Callithrix jacchus: one gene and its partner. The protein of the gene in region 1 interacts with the protein of each later gene in a biochemical or structural test. Links are inferred from orthologs where the notes say so. Each region holds a gene or a part of one and is shown in the gene's direction. Other genes may lie near its edges.

The links.
Region 2: the proteins of CDC42 (region 1) and ARHGEF7 form a complex in vitro, tested with the Homo sapiens proteins (2 studies listed by BioGRID). The link is inferred for Callithrix jacchus from reciprocal best matches to the Homo sapiens genes CDC42 and ARHGEF7.

What each region holds. Positions count from the first base shown.
Region 1 is NC_133508.1:58,817,294-58,821,544, forward strand, and holds the start of CDC42 (cell division control protein 42 homolog), read left to right. Parts: upstream 1-1,334; 5' UTR 1,335-1,385; intron 1,386-4,251. UniProt on the Homo sapiens protein: Plasma membrane-associated small GTPase which cycles between an active GTP-bound and an inactive GDP-bound state. In active state binds to a variety of effector proteins to regulate cellular responses. Involved in epithelial cell polarization processes.
Region 2 is NC_133502.1:26,672,595-26,676,993, forward strand, and holds the start of ARHGEF7 (rho guanine nucleotide exchange factor 7), read left to right. Parts: upstream 1-1,580; 5' UTR 1,581-1,946; coding exon 1,947-2,111; intron 2,112-4,399. UniProt on the Homo sapiens protein: Acts as a RAC1 guanine nucleotide exchange factor (GEF) and can induce membrane ruffling. Functions in cell migration, attachment and cell spreading. Promotes targeting of RAC1 to focal adhesions. May function as a positive regulator of apoptosis.

The sequences.
Region 1 (4,251 bases):
AAGCTATTTAAGCTATTTTTCTCTAACATAGGGAAACATCTCAAGAATAAGAGACGGAAGTTCTCTACTTTGCTGAAGCTTTCAGACTAGCAGAGAAAACAAATAATAAACAGATACTGCAAAGATAGGATGGTTGGAGAAGGCAGTGATATTTGAGGGTTGAGAGAGACAACCAAAAGTCAGGGGAAGAAGAGGGAGGCAGAGCAAAGAAAGTTCAAGGCCTTGGCTCACACCTTGTAAACCCAGCACTTTGGGAGGCTGAAGCTGGCTGATAACTTGCATCCAGGAGTCCGAGACCGGCCTGGGCAACCCAGCAAAACCGTGTCTCTACAAAAAAATAAAAAATTACCCAGGCACAGTGGTATGTGCCTGTGGTCCCAGCTACTCAGGAGGCAGAGGTGGGAGAATTGCCGGGAGGTCGCGGCTGCAGTGAGCTGAGATCATGCCACTACACTTCAGCCTGGGTGAAAGAGCAAGACTGTCTAAAACAAACAAACAAACAAAAATCAGCGGCTGTAGTTGGGGGAAAGATTGTAAGTCATGTGACCCATGTGGCTACGGCAAGGGACACTGGGGTGTAGGTAGAGTTAAGAAGAGCGGTATTCAGTTCTCACGTCACGTCGGACTGAATACAGGCCAGGGGGAATGAGAGGCTATCCATTCCTCTGATCTGGGGCAAGTCACCAGCCCTTTCAGAGAAGCCTCCTCTGAAAATAGGAGGATAATACCTTGCTTTACAAGGTTGCAGGGATCAAAATAACTGGCAGTGGGCTGGGCGCGGCGGCTCACGCCTGTAATCCTAGCACTCTGGGAGGCTGAGGCAGGTGGATCACTAGCTTGAAGTCAGGAGTTGAGACCAGCCTGGGCAAAATGGCAAAACTCCTTCTCTGCTAAAAATACAAAAATTAGCCTGGCGTGGTGGCAGGTACCAGTGATCTCAGCTACTTGGGAGGCTGAGGTAGGAGGACGCTTGAACCCAAGAGGTAGACGTTGTAGTGAGCTGAAATCGAGCCATTGCACTCCAGCCTGGGCAACAGAGTGAGACTGTGTCTCAGAAAAACAAACAAATAAGAAAGAAGTGGTAGTGGAAGCTCTTTGCAAACTACCATTACCAGTATTATTACAAACACAATCATTGGGAAAAGATGCAGAGTATAGCCCGGAACTCTAGCGGCGCCGACCCACACGTGCTCGACAGGCGGGCGGAGCCAGGGCAGTCCAGGCACCGCCTGGACCCGCCCCAGCCTCTTCCCCTTCCCTGTTCCTCCCACTTCCGCGGGCACCCGACTGTGCGTCTCCTGCGCGCTGACGTCAAGTGCGTGCCCCTGTCCGGCAGCCGAGGAGACCCCGCGCAGTGCTGCCAACGCCCCGGTGGAGAAGCTGAGGTGAGTGCGGGGCCCGAGGGTCCCCGCGGGAGCGGCTCCCCCACCTTCCCGTCCCCGCTGTCCCTGTCCTCTCCCAGTTTTCGGGGACACCTGGTCTGCGAAATCTCGGGACGCCTGGGAGCGCGGGTCGCGGGGAAGTGCCCGGCTCGAGCTGCGTCCTCCGGGCGGGCGGGAGTCCGCGTTCTGTGGGGGACCCGGGGCGGGGGTCGCGGCCGGGGAGGCGGTGGGCGCCCACCCGTGGTGGGGCGCGCGGCCGGGGCTCGGGGCGCGAGCGGGGCCGGGCTGTCACCGGCAGGGGCGGAAGGAAGGGGTCACACCCATCCCGGGCGCCCGGGCTCCCTTCCCCCCAGCCCGGCCCCGCGGGCTCCTGAGGGTGGCAGGGGCCCGGGTGCCGGGGGCCTCGGAGCGACTCGCGGGCGCCTGAGGCGGGCCGGGCGCCGGTCCCCGGTCCCCACAGGCTGGGTTTTGTGCCTTGCGCTCCAGCCCGACTTCCTGCTTCGCCGGGCGCAGCCGCGGACATTTTGCGGCACGGGGGGAGGGGAGCGGCGTTGCGGCCGCAGCGGGGCGGTGTCGGGAGGGCGGCTCGCGGGCTGCCCGCTGCGGTGCCTGTCGGCGCTCCCCTCCGCTCGGGTCGCGTCGTCCGGGCCGGGTGGCGCCGAGCCGCGAGCTGCTCTGTTCCTGCCTGAGGTCGAGTTCCTAGCATTTCCGTCCTCTTCTCCAGCCCGCTCCCTACCGATTCAGCTGAAGCTTCCCTTTCGGGGAGTTACTTAACCACCTCCCGAAACCGTCGTTCTGCTGCTTGCTTAATTCCTCTTACTGGGGGGAAATTTTCTTTGTTCGTTTGTTTTTCCTCCCCTTTAAGTCTTAAGAGAAATGCAGTGTGGAAGATTACGTCATCGCAGTATAAGAAGTGAGACTTAACTCCTACAAGTCAGGGACTTACAAATTGATACCGCATTTTGCAGCTTTAGTCGGTCACCCCTTGGCTTATTCTGCCTGCTTCCCAACGCATCGTAATCAGATGATGTTTTGAAACCTTGTTACTGTGGTCATGGTCGCCTTCAATGCACCTAAAAGCCAGGAAGTAAACCCCAGGATTAGCTTGTGTCAGGGAATAAAGTATAAGACAAGCTGCTTGCGTGGGCATTAACTTTAAATTGAGGTCCCTTTGACTATACTAGAATGAAGTGGTTTTATTTGTGGGAACACTTTTTCGGTCCAACATGACTTTCCCAGACTGTTTGGCTTCTTTATGACTTACTGCATGCCGAGAACCTCCCTAGTTGATTCAAGTGCACTTTTTGTGGTGCAGGTGTGTTGAAAAGAGGATCAGTTTCCGCCTGGTCTGTTAGACATTTTAGTTTTGTTATTAAAAACGAGACTTGGATTTTTAAGCAAAAAACTTAATGTTTTCATACTTTTGAGATCACAATTTTTTTTTTTTTTTTTTTGAGAAAAGGTCTCAAAGACGTTACTAAATACAATGGATATTGCACTTCCAGGCTAGAGTGCAGCCCACCTCAGTCTCCGCCTCTCGTGCTCTAGTGATCCTCCCACCTCAGCCTTTCGAGTAGCTGGTACTATAGGCATGTGCCACCACGCCCGGCTAATTGTGTGTGTGTGTTTTGCCATCTTGCCCAGGCTGGTCTGTAACTCCTAGGGTCAAGCAGAGATCATAATTTTTCTTTCCCTAAGCATTTATATCCTAAATTTTATATCCTTCCGCGATTACAATAGTAACACAGAAAAATGTTAACACTGTAAAGCAAATGAGATCCAATTGTGTAATGCATTGTTGTAAAGATAGTTCATGTCGAAACAAGTGCTTTCCCACTGTTTATCATTTCTATAGAGAGAACAGATTGTTAAACAAAAGGAGTGTTGGTTCAAGGCAGCTTTCTGTAGTGTGTAGGCATTACAGACCATGGGATAGGTGTGGAACTTGGATCTTCTGAAATACATTTGTTAGCCTTGATGTGATATTTTAGGAATATAACATTGGAACGCATCTACTACCTTATTTTCTTGAGCTTGCTATATTTTAGAATTTTAAATAATACCAATTTTTGTCTTTCCTTTTAGAAAATAACCTTGGTTTGGATGTATAGTTTGGATGTATAGTTTTTATACTGAGATGGAGATAAGAGACTGATAATCAACTGAATATTAAATGAGCTTGTTTTCAGTAATTTCTAAAAGACCCAAAAGGTATTACATCCTCTATTTTCCCTTAAAATGTTTTCAGATTACAACCAACACCTGTTCTTATTAAACTTAATTTTTTTGAGATTCTAAGGCAGATGCTATAGCCTAGAGTAGTATGGGGACCTAAATAACAAATTGGTTGAGTTTTTTGTTTTTTTTGTTTTTGTTTTTTTTTTCAAGATAGGGTTTACTCTGTTGTCCAGGCTGGAGTGCAATGGTGTGATCACAGCTCACTGCAACCTCGGCCTTCTAGGCTCAATCCTTTCACCTCAGCCTCTGCAGTAGCTGGGACTACTGCTGCATGCAACCAGGCCTGACTACTTCTTGTATTTTTTTTGTTGAGATAGTGTTTTGTCATATTGCCAGGCTGGTCTGGAATGCCTGTACTCAAGCTATCTGCTCCTGTTGGCCTCTGAAAGTGCTGGGATATAGGCATGAGCTGCTGTGCTGTGGACAGGCTTTCTTGGAAGTAAAAGACAAGTTGTACTTTTATTTATAGATATGTTTTAAATGCACTTCTCTATTTTAGTTTGTCTTTTTTTTTTTGAGAGGATGAGAAACACTTAATGAGCACCTTAGGCTGCAGGGCTTCCTTTGAAGGGGGGGAGAATGGGGTTAAATATTGTGTTAACATATTTTCCCTAAACCCTCTGTATTAAAG
Region 2 (4,399 bases), on another chromosome or scaffold:
AGACCCATTGTAATTTTCTCTGGTCTGACAATAAGTGAGTCTCTGCTTCACTGTGTCCCAAGGCCACTCCCTAGAGCTGGCTTTCTGGAGGACCATTTAATTGAGTCTATTTGAATCTTACTCAAGTCTAGCAGCTTATAAGTACCAGACCGAATTTAGCAGGATTCGGAATGGTAAGGACTGCATGTGAAATGACTTCTCTAATTCAGCAGTAAGGAGAGTGGACAGGAGTCTCGGTGGGCAACCACTCCGGGGTTGACGTCCTTCTTTCCATGGGGACTCTAGGGACAAGGCTTGATGTAGCTGTGGATTGCTCTCCTGTTTCCTAGAAAGCTTACAGGGCAGCAGGAAGAAACGGGTTAGCTATGTCTTTACTGGTAGAGCTGAGCTTCGGGTGCCATCTCTGCCATGTGTTCGGCATCTGATCGGTAAAACGGGGACCATGATGGGAGGTGAGGCAGTAGACAGCTCTTCGTGAGGTTCCTGCTGGTTGCTGTTATCACGGAGAGCACATTGTCCTCGTAATCCAGAATTCATACTGCCACTTGAATAGTTTGTGTATTTGCAAAGAAAATTTTAAACACTTAACTCAAGGCTAGAAATAAATGCAGTTAGTTATTGCAAGAGAAAACCACCGGCAGAGGCAGAGGGAGACGACCTAAGCCTCTGATTATTTTTGGAAGCTTTATGTGCTTTCTGGCCTCTGCCACTGAATGGATTAATGGATGTGCCTGGCATAGAGTAAGCGCTTTGCTTGTTCAACTGCCCGCGGGTCGCAGCGAGCAAACTGGGGAGAGCGCTCAGGGGCAGTGGGTGGAGTGAGTGGAGACGCGCGTCCTTTTAAGAAAAGGCTCCATTTGTTCCTCGCGTGGAAATGTGTGCGTGTCATCAGGTGCTCGAGGAAGCTCGCGCATGACCCGACAGCTGCCGTCTGGGATCTCCAGGTTCGGCCTGGCGCGTTCACAGCGCGGTCTCCAGCCCTGCTCTTCCGTGACGCTGCGCCCCCCGACTCGCAGCCCTGACCGACCCGGCCCTTCGCACAGCCCTGCTTCAGGCCGCCCATTCTCCTTGACCTTCCCCCAGCAGGGTCTGAGGCGTCGCCGCCCGTTTCGAGCGGGGTCACGCAGGCCCCTTCCCGGCCTGGAAGGTCAGCGCCGCGCGCTGAGCGTCAGTCCCCGCTCAACCCCCGCTCCAAACCCCGCCGGCCGCAGATGTCATCCTCATCCGTGCTCCGCAGTGACCGGAGGGAGCGAAGGGAAACAAACCAACGTCTCGTTTTCAGCCTCTCCCCGCCACCGTGACACAAAACCGGCAAAAATAAAAAGAGCATTCTGGGAAGCACTTCATCATTTCAACGCTCACGAATTCAAAACATAAACAAAGGGCTCCCGGGGCCCCGGCCGGGGGCGCGGGGCGCGGGGCGCGCGGCGGGCCCGGGGCAGGTGAGCGCAGGTGCGCGCCCGCCCCCGCCCGGGGCCCCCGGCTCCTTCTCCCCGCGCCCTGCGCCCCACGCTCCGCTCCCCCTTCCCCGCCCGCTCCCCGCTGCCGCCGCCGCCGCCGCCCCGCGCACGGCCTGGAGCGGAGGCTGCGCAGGGCGCGGGGCGGCGCGGGCCGGGCGCGGGCCGGGCGGACGGCCGCGTCTTTCTTCTCCTGGCGGTGATGTCATTGGGCGACGGCGGCCGAGGCCGGGGGGCGGCGGCGGGCGCCCGCAGGTTCCTGAGCCGCTCCTGAGAAGGCGCCTGACCGTGGGCCGGGGCGCACGGAGGAGCGGGCCGGGCCGGGCCGGAGCTGCTGGGCCGCGCCGAGCCGATCGCCGGCGCCGGCCGCTCCATGGGCGAGGAGGCGGCGGCGGCGGCGGGGGCGGTGGGGGCCGCGGGCCGGGCAGCCGCTCCGAGGTGAAGCAGGCGCGCGCCCCTCCCCGCCCGCCCGCCTCCCGGGCCGCCGCGATGAATTCCGCGGAGCAGACCGTTACGTGGCTCATCACCCTGGGGGTGCTGGAGTCGCCCAAAAAAACCATCGCGGACCCGGAGGGCTTTCTGCAGGCGTCGCTGAAGGATGGGGTGGTCCTCTGCAGGCTGCTGGAGCGCCTGCTGCCCGGGACCATCGAGAAAGTAAGTCCTCGCCCGCGCCCCCCGGCCCGGCCCGCTGCGGCCCGGGATGCGCGCGGAGCACCTGGGGCCGGCCGCGCTCGGGGGACCGCGCGCCCTCCTTTGTGCGCGGAGCGGCGGCGCGGCCGGCGCCAGGACCGTGGCGGGAGCTCCGGGGGCGCCATTGTGAGCGGGGCTGGGTAGGGGGCGGGAGGAGGGGCGCGGGCGGTGGGGGTCCGAACGCCGAGTGGCCCCTCCGCGCTGGAGGTGGGCTCCGCTGCCTCGCCGCGGCCCGGTCGGAACCGCGTTCCGACGCCGTGCGGCTCTGTCCGCTGGCTTTGTGTGGACAGTTCTTGCCGGTGGCGTTGCGTGTTTCGCCTCCCGGTGAATGGACCGGTTGCTCTGCATTTTTAAAGATGCTCGCATCTGCGGCTGAGGGCTGCGCTGGGAAATGATGTACTTACTTTCCCCTGGAGAAAATTACCCCCATCCGAGAGGACGGCAGACACAGGGTTTAAGCCCCGGCACTCTGCAAGGCTTGTTTAAAATTTCAGATTTCGTTCTCAGGTCCCTCCCTGGTTCTGAATAGAACCCAGAGTCCTGCAGGCACTGCCTCTCCCTCCCCTCTGGTAGTTCCCAGACTGGAGCGTGTGAACCCTGACCCGAATTTCTGGAAGTGATTAAAGTTTGTTTTCATCGCCCACAAACCGGCCAGCAGGGCCCAGGAGACAGGAGAGCTTCTAAAAACGAGGTCTCCCTGTAGCTCAAAATACCAATCTTATTCCCAGGGTTTTTTTTTTTTTTTTTTTTTTGGAGGAGGGGAGGGTGGTGGGTGGCCAATACACAGCGTTCAGATCAACAATTATTTAAAATGTGTTAAATACAGAAACTGAAGAGTACCACAACTAGGAAGAACGACTTAAGTTTCTAAGTGGGGTGTATTGGCCCCCATACAGCATGACAACTTGTAAATAAAATGCCACCTAAGTGACTTGAAAAGTAAAATGTTTAATCTTATACACGTGCGCATGTTCTGCTGCTACATTTTAAATGAGGTCAGAAAACATTAAATGTGAATTTGGCTTACATTCCAGTTTTAGGTATTTTTCTTACTTGGCACATTTTTATGAAGACGGAATCTGCATATTAGAGTGTCCATGAAATAAAAACGTTCCTTTAAAATGAACCTGATGTCACAGTGACATGATGATTTAAGACAGGAGGACTAAGGAGCAGGATCTGACTTTCAAGGCATTCAAAATACTTTGTTGTTTGGAGACTGGTACCTCTGGTAATACAAGACAGATGTCGAAAAGTGTTGAAATACATGCTAAGTTCGCCAAAATAGGCTTGAATAAAATCCTGTATCATCTCTGAAAGCAAAGCTTTGAGAAACTTCATATGCCGTGTTGATAAAAACGTGTCGCCATCAAAGAATGTGGTGTTTGGCATATTAACTGCATTAATAGTGATTGACAGGCTTCAATAATCATTTTCTTCTGAATTCTAGAAAGATTTTCCTAGAAAACTGTAGCATTCATTTCAACTCTAAAACAACGGAGAGAGGAATGAATAAAATGTTGAGCTTGCAGAAGCCAACTTAAAACAACTCAACATATTCTAAAACTGCAGTCATTTGGAAATGTCTTAGGTCAAATATGTTTTTCATTCCCCCCCAAGCTCCAGTTGGTTTGTTTTAAACTGACTCTGTCACAGTGAAAGTTTAATGTAAAGCAGCATATTGTAGACACAGTTGCTGGTTCTCTGGAATTCAAAGGTAGGTTTTTGGAGCAAAATAGCCATTTCTGTCTCTAAGATCCCTGCGTTTCAGAAGTTTTGTGAGCTTTTTCCATTTCCCAGGAGAGTTATCTGGGTTTTTTCTTTCTTTCCTTTCTTTCTTTCTTTTTTAAATAGAGATGGGGTCTTGCTATGTTGGTCAGGCTGGTCTTGAACTCCTGGCCTCAAGCAATTGTGTCCCATTTTGGCCTCCCAAAATGCTGGGATTATAGCCATGAGCAGTCATGCCCAGCCAGTTATCTGGGTTTTTGATGTTTGCATGCTTACCAGATAATCTATGCCACAAAGCATACATGCTGAATAATTTTTACTTAAATGTGGGAGTGTGAATCTGAGGATGTTTTTCCTTAAAAAGAAGCATTTGGATACTTAACCAAATATTCATGTGGATGTGCAGGGCTTCACTTGACCTCTGCGGCAGGGGTGCACGGACAGCCAGTGAGCAGAAGGCAAGTGGCCTGCAGCCTTCGCCTCTGCAAGCTCATAAGCTGGCCTGAGCCACGAGGCTGGGGATG